Neodiprion lecontei: one gene and its partners. The protein of the gene in region 3 purifies or fractionates together with the protein of the main gene of each other region. This does not show direct contact. Links are inferred from orthologs where the notes say so. Each region holds a gene or a part of one and is shown on either strand. Other genes may lie near its edges.

The links.
Region 1: the proteins of KRR1 small subunit processome component homolog (region 3) and protein KRI1 homolog purify together in Homo sapiens (affinity purification with mass spectrometry; 3 studies listed by BioGRID and IntAct, with this or other methods). This does not show direct contact. The link is inferred for Neodiprion lecontei from reciprocal best matches to the Homo sapiens genes KRR1 and KRI1.
Region 2: the proteins of KRR1 small subunit processome component homolog (region 3) and probable ATP-dependent RNA helicase pitchoune purify together in Homo sapiens (affinity purification with mass spectrometry; 3 studies listed by BioGRID and IntAct, with this or other methods). This does not show direct contact. The link is inferred for Neodiprion lecontei from reciprocal best matches to the Homo sapiens genes KRR1 and DDX18.

The regions. Positions count from the first base shown.
Region 1 is NC_060260.1:30,354,101-30,357,859, forward strand, and holds the start of protein KRI1 homolog, read right to left. Parts: upstream 2,925-3,759; 5' UTR 2,670-2,924; coding exon 2,558-2,669; intron 2,460-2,557; coding exon 2,371-2,459; intron 2,272-2,370; coding exon 1,876-2,271; intron 1,796-1,875; coding exon 1,479-1,795; intron 1,393-1,478; coding exon 1,211-1,392; intron 970-1,210; coding exon 713-969; intron 645-712; coding exon 381-644; intron 264-380; coding exon 106-263; intron 1-105.
Region 2 is NC_060260.1:4,906,750-4,910,508, forward strand, and holds the start of probable ATP-dependent RNA helicase pitchoune, read left to right. Parts: upstream 1-1,029; 5' UTR 1,030-1,180; coding exon 1,181-1,183; intron 1,184-1,523; coding exon 1,524-1,575; intron 1,576-1,719; coding exon 1,720-1,812; intron 1,813-1,893; coding exon 1,894-2,013; intron 2,014-2,086; coding exon 2,087-2,347; intron 2,348-2,417; coding exon 2,418-2,732; intron 2,733-2,915; coding exon 2,916-3,217; intron 3,218-3,308; coding exon 3,309-3,461; intron 3,462-3,508; exon of another isoform or gene 3,509-3,547; coding exon 3,548-3,718; intron 3,719-3,759. Other genes in the region: uncharacterized protein LOC107226345, read left to right, coding at 16-169, 240-364. UniProt on the Homo sapiens protein: ATP-dependent RNA helicase that plays a role in the regulation of R-loop homeostasis in both endogenous R-loop-prone regions and at sites of DNA damage.
Region 3 is NC_060262.1:40,403,535-40,406,578, forward strand, and holds KRR1 small subunit processome component homolog, read right to left. Parts: upstream 1,813-3,044; 5' UTR 1,686-1,812; coding exon 654-1,685; 3' UTR 568-653; downstream 1-567. Other genes in the region: trafficking protein particle complex subunit 12, read left to right, coding at 2,328-3,044. UniProt on the Homo sapiens protein: Part of the small subunit (SSU) processome, first precursor of the small eukaryotic ribosomal subunit.

The DNA of each region.
Region 1 (3,759 bases), on a different chromosome or scaffold from region 3:
TATGAGTACATGGGCCAAGCATACAAGATTATTAAAAAAGATTATTATTAATCAACTAAAATTCTGTTACCCTGGGATGAATAAATATATAAAAAGAATGCATACCCATATATGCTTTTGAATATCTTCTTTTTTAACACTTCATTACGAGCTTTTTGTTGGTAAGATGTAACGTCATTCAACTCGAGATATTCAGGTCTGTATTGAAGCGCTTTTTTCAGCGAACACCATTTGTTCAATTCTTTATCATCAGCCATAATGATCTGCAACAAAGTCCTGTATTATTACGTGATACTTGGTTTTTCTCGTTTTGAGGATTGACTCAGTTTAAAACAAATAGCTCAAGCAATACTGAATTTTAATTGTTCAAAACAACTCACTTCGTCTATAGTTAGCCCATAATCATTCGCGACAACGTTTCTGTATTTAAATCTGCAAGGCTGATCACCGATCATGTCTTCATAATCCAAAGCGTAATATTGATCTAAATAAGCTTGATAAGACGGATTTCCAGTTGGATCGAAAGTGGGCTTCTCCTTAGCAACTGCCACAGCCAATTTGTTACGTCTTCTTCTCTTCTTTTTTCGAGAAGAATCGATCAATTCTTCCTGCAGTGTCTTGGTTGGATCGTAATCTGCATCCATCTGAAATAGCATATTATATTCACACCTATCTAATCTAGGAAGACTAAATAAAGGACAATGAGGATTACATTGAAATCTGGGTCATCGCAGTGTGGTCCATTATTACGCTTGGTCTCCGGTATTACTTCCTCTTGTTTTGGATCATACTTATCCCAGGTTGTTTCAATATCTAGCTCTTCATCAATGTCTGGAAATTCCGGTTTCAGATCGCCTTCGGGCGCAGCATAAAATTCGTCACTGAACATAGCCTGCATCTTACGATCATGCTCGGCTGGATCAAAATCTCCATCCAAATCAATTTCATTAAAGTGTATATCGTCGTTACCTGGGAACAATAAAATTATTGTTCGTTCTTCAACCATGAAAGCAACATATTTATGCAGATAATTTGAACACCAGTATGTTGCAAAGTTTCACTTTCAAAAGTTTGTTAGAATTCTCCCAAGATTCTCGACCAAGTATAAAATTATGTAAAAATTATACTGATGAATTTTTAGGGGCATTACTATTTCGAAACAAGTTTTGGTGTTCAAATTTTATAACAACTCTATAAAAGCGTCATCTACCAGTAATTTCTTTCAACTTCTCGATCTTCTCTTCAATCTCCTTTCTTTTGAGAGCTTTCAATTGTTTTAGTTCTTCACGTTTTCGAACAGCTTCTTCCTCTTTTCTCTTTTTTAATTCGACCCTCTTCTCAGCACGCCGTGTGTCTTTACGTCTCATGGAATTTTCAAGCGTGCGAGGATATCTAGAATTAGAATGTAATTTAAAGTCATTACCAATGTTACAAAATTTGTGCTGACATCTACAATTTGGAATGTCAGCAATTTTCACCTCTTTATAAATTCTTGATCAGGCTCTTCGAATCGAAAATTATATTTGTGCTCGAATTCTTCCTGTATTTCAATATTCTTCTCATCTTCACTCAAATTCTCATCGCTATCATGAACCACCAAATCATATTCCGGGTTGAAATCATTAAAGTCTTGATCCAAAAATTTCTTATTCAATATATAATCTCTAAGAAATTTCTCATTCTGATCTAGTTTTGGATCAGTCCAAAAATCTCGTAGAGGTTTTAATTCTTTCTTATCCACCCCATCGATTTCTGTATGCTGACCTTTCAGCCATTCTTTGTAAGCTTCTTCCTCCTAAATAAGACAACAAATTTAACACAATGACACTACCCATTCAATGTTGATTGACAATTCTATACCCGACAGAAACAAACCTTTTTTTCATCTTCGTCAGATTTTGTTTTTGGCTTGAGAAGATCAGCTGTCTCATCATCTTCATCCTCCTCCAAGATCTTTTTAAAACTTTCCTTCAGCTTGAGCTGCTCTTTCACGTAAGTGGGAGCTAAAGGTTGATTATTCTCTTGCTGGAGAGTATCTTCATCTTCGCTGTCGCTAAATTTACCATCTCGTTCGAGCATAACTTTCCGTTCATAGTCTCTCAAGAACAGTGGCTTATTTTTAGCTTTCTCTTTAATCGTCGCTTTGGAGGTGTCCTCCAACTGTTCGATGTCATCGAAGAAAGTAACTTGTTCATCGTAAATTCGAGGATCTTTATTTTTTAAGCATGCCAAGGTTTTGTAAAAGTTTTTCTCGAATGCCTCAGTCAATTCCTTGAAGAAATATTATTATTAATCAAAATACAACGAAAAGAAAAAACTAAGCAGTCATACTGAAATGAACACATTGTATAATAAATTGCCAACTATTACTTTTCCATCTTCATCCTCCTCCTCCGAGGTGCTGGAATCCTCGTCTGAGGTATGAAGATCTTTGATGTGTTCACCATACTTTGTTTTCACTATAAAATTAAGCACACATATATTTATGTAGAAATCGTATTTTGAGGTTAACGACGTTTGAGGTTAACCGCGTTTCAACTTAGCAGGTAATATTTACATTTGTTCAGTTCCTCTTTCTGTCTCCAATTGTTGTAGTTTTGCGCGTAACTCGAATTTATCTTCAATTCCGAATCCGAATCAGAATGGTTGCTATTAAATAAATCATTCATTAAAACGAACTCAGGCTCTCCTCACGTGTTGACGGTACAGCAAACTTTCATTCTATAATCTGTGCCAAGCGGCAAGCATCCGCATTCAAGATTTTTACCACGAATTTTAACCAATTACACGACTCGTTTGTACTCCAGGTACCACGTGACAACACAGAAGAACGTAGGTTCTCCCACCATGGTTTTCACATTCGCCTCACATGGCTTCAATCAAAGCATATACCTATATCACTGACACAGTCTGTGATCACTGGCATGCAACTAAACAAGCAGTGATGTTTCTACATGTATATCCTCCAAAGGGCGTCGGGCGTAAATAAACACAAACTCCGCAGCAGAAAGCAAAGAGAATAGGCACTGATATCGTATAAACTATATCAATGAGAGTAGGTATCTCTGACAGATAAATCGTGGTGGATGAATCAACGGAGAAGTAACAGTTTGTCTTATCTATTTACTATTCTACAGAGAATCTCTGTTAACAGGAATTCATTTGCTATTTCTAGGGTTTATCTTCAAACTATTTATGTATGCATATAATTATAAATACGTCTTGCTCGAAATACCAACTACTTTAGTTTAAAAAAAAAGTTATTTGCATTGAGTGAATCATTTTTAACGAAAGGATTGATTACAAATACATGTTACGATATTTTTTCCCGTATATTGTATAATAATGTACATACGTGATTCATAGTAACTAATATTTAACAATAATTGGTAATTATTTAGATATAACAAGCGAAGGTGAACTCTTGAAATCCAATAATAACGAATTTAATACAATACAAGACTCTTTCGTCCCTTTTTCTTATAGGTAACTATGTATATAATTTTCATTCAGTTTTATTTATCATTATTATTTTCGTTATTTCTACGTTTTAAGAAGTGATGCTTCGATTTTTTTTCACTGCCCTGATGTCCTGTGCAGCAGTTCTATTTCGTTTTCTTTTCCTTATTTCTTACATTTATTACGTAACGTGATAAATATTATACAATCGTGGTCAGGCAATATTGAAAGAAGGAATACAAATTCTTTATATCCACTCTCAATATTGGAACTACTTACAATCTATTGTACAATATGTAT
Region 2 (3,759 bases), on a different chromosome or scaffold from region 3:
ATCTTTTTTTTATAGGTGGAACTTTTAATTGATCCAATGAAGCCCACACGGCAGTTGCCTCGTACGCCCATCACAGGATCACCTCAAAGTTTTCGACTCGAACTATCAGCCGCACCTATTTCTTCTCCAAAAGACGAGGTTGAAGAAAAACCAATACTGCCGCCAGAAGGTAAACTATAGTCAACTCCAACGAATTTATTATACTGGAGTTGTATTAAATGAAACTGAATTTATTTCAGATTTTAATGCACCGGTGGTGAATTTGGAAGAACACTATGCCCAGCTGCTTCCATGTAAGCTTTGCCATCGCAAGTTTTATCCGTATAGGCTACAAAAACATGAAGCCAGTTGCAAAAAGTTATGAGCAGATGCTGTGTGAGCCTGATATTGTATTTTTACCTATTAAGTTGCACAAGAAATAAACAAATATATTTTTCATTATATTATAATAGGTGCTATATTACAATTAATAATTGCAGCCTCATATTAGTAGATTCGCTTGTAATGTCTAACTGACTTCTTGTTATTAATAGTAATAATATTGTTATTTTATAAACTTATAGCTTTTTTGTCTATCGGTTCTCCATTTCGATCAGTGTCAGTTTCATAAATCCTCATGTATCACCCTAAGTTTGTTCAGTTAAACTTCAACAATAACTAGATGCTTGCACAATACCAGCAATACCTTTCTTTTAGGTGGTACATGTTGAGTTAGGTATATTATTGGCAATCGAGTTATGAATTTTTATTCAATTTTCGCTATGACAAATACTAGTTTTTCTTCAGTTGAAGACACATTTAAACACAGTCGTCTAAAAAACATATCCTATAAAGTGAATGATAAGTCAATTAATTCGCCTATTTTTATCGGCGGTTGTTAAAAAAAACTCATATGTTCTGCGTTGTACTCTACAGTCAAATTCAATTTCACCGCTCTGAGGCAGCCGCCGCGAAGGGAACTGAGGGAGTTCAGTTCATACGTTACTAGGTGATACTGTATACTTAATGCTTGACTGGCTTGATTTTCCTAACTGTACCATGCAGTACCATGCTCGCCATGTGTTTGTCGATGGAGCGTGGGTTATAAATTGAATATATTTGCTAGACTTGCAGTATATTATACAGCATTATTGGGTTATAACGTTCTTGTTGCATAAATACTATTATAAAGAAGTGCTAAATGGTAAGAACGAACAATATTATTCGGCAATTCAATTATAAATTCAATTCTTTTCGTGACATAATCTAACCTCCAAGGCGTCAAATACTTAGAACTTTCCTTACCATTGTTTGAAAATGTTGAGCCTATCATTGCTTTCATATATAAGTGATAAATACATTTACTAATCAGGTATCTCACTGTTTCAACATCCTGGAACCCCACAATCGAATATTCTCTTCGGCAATATTTGTCCTAACCTATAAAATATCTTAGTTTCATTTCATCGTCAATACATTGGGATAAAAATTAATGCCTTGATATTATAGTGTTTGAATAATTGATAATGAGACTGTTATTTCAGGCACCCAAAAAATCTGTGCGTAAAGTAAAACCTGGAAAACGGCCAAATAATGGTTAGTTGAAAATAAATTTTGACTTTTACATTCAATATAATTAATAGAGTTAGTTAATAACTATTAAAGTATAACATTCATGAATTATTAATAAGTAAGCTTAAGTCATACTACTAAAATTTCGGTTATTTTCCAAATGTTCAGGCTTTGCAGAGAAATCTGATAACAGCAATGAAGACATAGTTGTGAATGGGCACGGAGTTAAACGGCATCTGCCTGATGATATTTCAGTGAAACGTGAGTCAAATCTACAATAGTGATATTTTCAGAATTTACAGTGTTGATGTAGTATATACAATGACTGATACGAATTTTCAGAGAAAAAGAAGAAGCCAGCGAAGTTAGAACACACTGAAAACAATGAAGATGAAAGTGATAATGACAGCGGAGAAGAAGAGTTGGAGGAGGAAGCTACGCCGTGCGATGTGGCAAAAATATGTGAGCCTCAAATTTATAACAGAGTATAGGTATATTTTTCTCATCGTTGAAAGTTCCATTTTATGATTTTCAGTACCTGGATCCGCCGTAGGTTTGGAAATAATGAACAATGCTGCGTTCTCATCCCTAAAAGACAAAGTATGTGAGAATACCCTGAAGGCAATTGAAGATATGGGTTTTGCTAACATGACTGAAATTCAAGCCCGATCAATTCCTGCCCTAATTGAAGGACGAGATCTTGTTGGGGCTGCAAAAACAGGCTCTGGAAAAACACTAGCATTTTTAATACCAGCTGTCGAACTCATCTACAAACTAAAGTTCATGCCACGAAATGGTTAGTCTGCAGAAATATATCCAAATACAAATCTTTCAGTAGATAGAAATTGGGAAATTTTTTATTTTAGGCACCGGCTGCATTATAATATCCCCGACACGTGAGTTGTCTATGCAGACCTTTGGCGTTCTCAAGGAGCTCATGAAGCACCATCATCACACTTATGGCTTGCTGATGGGAGGCGCAAATAGGAAAACTGAGGCACAGAAACTTTCTAAGGGTATAAACATCGTGGTAGCTACACCTGGCCGATTGTTGGATCACCTTCAAAACACTCCTGATTTTTTGTATAAAAATCTTCAGTGCCTAATTATCGATGAGGCTGATCGTATACTGGATATTGGTTTCGAAGAAGAATTGAAACAGATTATCAATATTCTGCCCAGTGAGTAGCTTTTCTTTTTATCAGTATTTGCATTGTATAGAATGCTGGATAAAAATCTAATTAGTTGTACAGTTTACATGCATTGCAACTTGGAGAAATTACTCTCATGTGTATTTCTTTTCTAACATTACTTTCTAGGAATATTCTTCAACGTCTTATTTCATCTGAATTTCTCTGTTACAGAAAGAAGACAGACGATGTTATTCAGCGCGACACAGTCTCAGAAAACGGAAGCTTTGACTACCTTAGCTCTCAAAAAAGAGCCGATATATGTGGGGGTGGATGACGAAAAAGAAAAGGCAACCGTCGAGGGTTTGGAACAAGGTTATGTTGTGTGTCCAAGTGAGAAACGTTTTCTGCTTCTGTTTACCTTCCTTAAGAAGAATCGGAAGAAGAAGGTTATGGTATTCTTCAGCTCCTGCATGTCCGTCAAATATTACCATGAACTATTGAATTATATCGACCTACCGGTGATGAGCATACACGTAAGTACGCTCTGCAATTTTATTTCCTGCACAATATATTCCTTTATTCATCACCCAGCCTCATATAGATTCTTTTATTACTCTCTTTTAGGGAAAGCAAAAGCAAACTAAACGCACCACAACGTTCTTCCAATTTTGTAACGCATCCACTGGTATTCTTCTATGTACCGACGTTGCAGCTCGTGGTCTTGACATTCCTGATGTTGATTGGATCGTGCAATATGATCCGCCGGATGATCCTAAGGTACAATTTGCATTCTCAGATTTACGCAGAAACTATCAGACAATCAGTTACATTTTTTTATGCTTGTATTGTTCTCTTCTCTTCAGGAATATATACACAGAGTTGGAAGAACAGCACGTGGAGAAGGCAGCAGTGGTCACGCCTTGATGGTTTTGCGACCAGAAGAATTAGGATTTCTGCGTTACCTGAAGCAGGCACGAATTCCCGTTAATGAATTCGAGTTCTCGTGGAACAAGATCGCCGATATACAGTTACAAGTGAGTATTACTTATTGATTAACAAATCGAATACTTTATAT
Region 3 (3,044 bases):
AATTTTAGGCTGTAAGATAAAATGTGACATAAATTAATTGATTATTCAGTTACATAGGAAGTTAACAGTCAATGATAATGTGTATGTAACCAGTCCATTTAAATAGACCCACCACTTGATTTCTGTGAATAACGAATATGGATGGATTATAAATGAAGAATAACACCTGTACGAGTAAAATGACACAATGACAGAGAAATGGTCGAAGTAGTAATAAAAAAAGAAACAAAAAAAAACGAGCGGCGATACTTAGAGATTGACAATAATGAAAAAAATTTGGCGTACTTCAAATGAACTTTGTATAACAAAAAAAAAAAAAACTTTTTAAACCTACGTACTCATCAAATTGTCGGGATTATCATTCAATTATAAAGTTCTACCGGCTAAAAAATCATACGCTAGTGTTTCATGTATTCCACACTTTGTATTGTATAATAATGAAATGAATGTAAATTAAGATGAAACAAAGTGAACAAAAAAAAGTATGCTAAACGATTATAGGAGAAATTTTTTTTAATAAAAACAAGGATTTTTTTCCAAAAACTTTACGTTAATTTATTTACAAAATTTTTTTAATACAACCCGGCTTAATCTTATAAAAAATAAACGTACCACAAGTTGTAAGTTTAGTATGATAAAAGTATATACACAGTTTAGGAAGGAGCAGCGCTACGTTTTTTAAAACCTTTTTTAACTTTTCTCTTAAACTCCTCGATGTTGATATCTCCTTTCTTGCTAACATTTTTCGTTGCAACATTTTCCTCAGGAGCAACAAAGGCCTGAGCTCTTCTTTCGACTCTCTTTTTGGCAGCCTCCTCATGCCTGGTCTCCTGTTCCTTACGTTTCTTAGCCTGTTTCTGTTCCTCTTTAAGGAAGAATTCTCCAGATGCCAACTGTTTATCGATTTTACTTTCTTGCTGCGGCGGAGGAAACGGTGTGTATTCCTTCTTAGCCTTTTTATTCTTTGGCTGTTTTCTTTTGCTAACATTTTTGCTGTTAAACTTTGGTAAAAATCTCTCCCAATTTTCGTTTTTCAGCTTAGGATCCTTGGCCAGTTCTCGCTTTATCATCAACGCCTTGATATTGTAAATCGGATGCACGTTCTTCATTGTATCTTCGCAGATTCGTCGCACCTGCTGCAGTCCCTTGTAGGGCCCAAGAGCAGCTACGGTTTGCCCTTGAACCAAAACATAGCACTTAGTTAACAGCTCGATTGACTTCAGTGTGCAGCCGTTGGGTCCGATTAGCCGCTGTCTTCGTTTGACAAACTTCTCCTTGTTCCTGACCAAGGACGATATTTTAATAATATCAGCACCGATGTCGTCCTGTAGAACTTTGACTGCCTGTTCGTATGGCACAGACCTAGACATCAGTTTAATCATGTCCCGGGCCTTGATAATTATGTAGGGATCCCAAGTTGTTCGTGTCGTCTTCACCGTCATGCTACCTTCAATCAGATCTAATTCAGCCTTGATACCCTGTTCCTGTAACGACTTCTGCACCAGCGGCCAACACTGTTTCAAATATTTTTCTCTGTACTTTGGAAACAACGTTGCGAACGAACTTTCCTCTAGTAAACGGTGTGGGTTGTGTTCCGGCTTGAATGCAGGAACCTTGAGGTCCCACGCATTGTCTACAGGGTCTGTATTTACTGGCCGGTCATCCTCCTTTTCAGAATCACTCATTTTCTTAAATTTATTTATTTATTTATATCGCAATGTCTTCGGAACCAGTTCGCACGTGGGTTTAGGCTACGCGCTTTCAGGTTATGTTGATGAAATTTCTGTGGCAGCAGTGAGTAGAGTGAGTGACGGTGAGTGAGCAGTCAACGATTTGACCGAAGGTTCGTGAACTTCAGAATATCGAATAGCAGCGCTCTGCTGCAAGTCCGCCATCTTGCATCCGACACAATATCGACATATCGGTAAGTCAAGTTTTATTTATGCTAATGAGCGTTTACAATTTCAGATTTGACCTAACGGCCGTTGTATCGACACTTGTGATATTTTTATTTTTAGTTATCTATATTTATATATTCACTTTCAACATGATGAGGAAAAATCGATGTCGCGAACCTGCGGCATCCAATTTGAAAATTAGTCGCAGAGTCTACCCTCTAGAAAACTACTTGAAGTAATTTAGCCATGCTCGTAAAGTCACAAGTGACAGCTGATTGTGATCATTCTAGTCGTGTGAAGGTTAACTTTCAACTACTAACCTAGTGCTCAAGCTTAAGCCTACTAACCAAAAGTAAAATAATATGTGATCACGATATTGTAAGTCAGTAATTATTGAAGAATTGACGTTGTGTTTGAGCGTGGCAAGCAATGGCCGATAAAAGTTCGCTATTTCAACTGAGCGACAATATCGCAGGATTGTCTGACGACTCAAAACCATCTGGTGATACTGGGCTCGGGCGTTACTTCAGCAATACGACTCACACGATATTCGATGAAATTGTCCCACCGGAAAAACAAGACATGCTGGAACAACCTTCGGCATCTGCGAGTCCTCGCCCAGTATTTGACTCCTTCTTGACAGACCCGTCAAACAGCTTCCTTGAAAACAGTTTGTCAGATGCTGCGGAACAAGTCTCCGACCATGTCACGGCCAGCGACATTCATAGAGATGCTTGGATCCCCTCGGATCAAACCAAAAAAGTATTAGCCTCGATAGCAACGTCGACGCCTGGAAGTAATTTTCCTGATAGAGAAAATCTGACGATGCCCGGACTGACGTTGCAGGGAGATTTGACCGATACGACTAAGGAGGCTGCGATTCACTTTCTGGGAGAAGAAGAAAACATTCATCGCAACGTTCTCACAGCTTCTGATGTAACGCAGGACGAACGTGGTCTGAGGAATTTGATTCAGACAGGATGTTACCGAGCGGCGATTAATCTTACTGGCAGACTGCTAGCAATTTATGGACAGGGATATGGGAAGATTAATCATCCCAGCAAACACACTCCACACTCTCTCCAATTGTGGTTTACAAGACTCGCACTTTTGGCAAAATTGAAGCACGTCGAAGTTCTTGAAAAC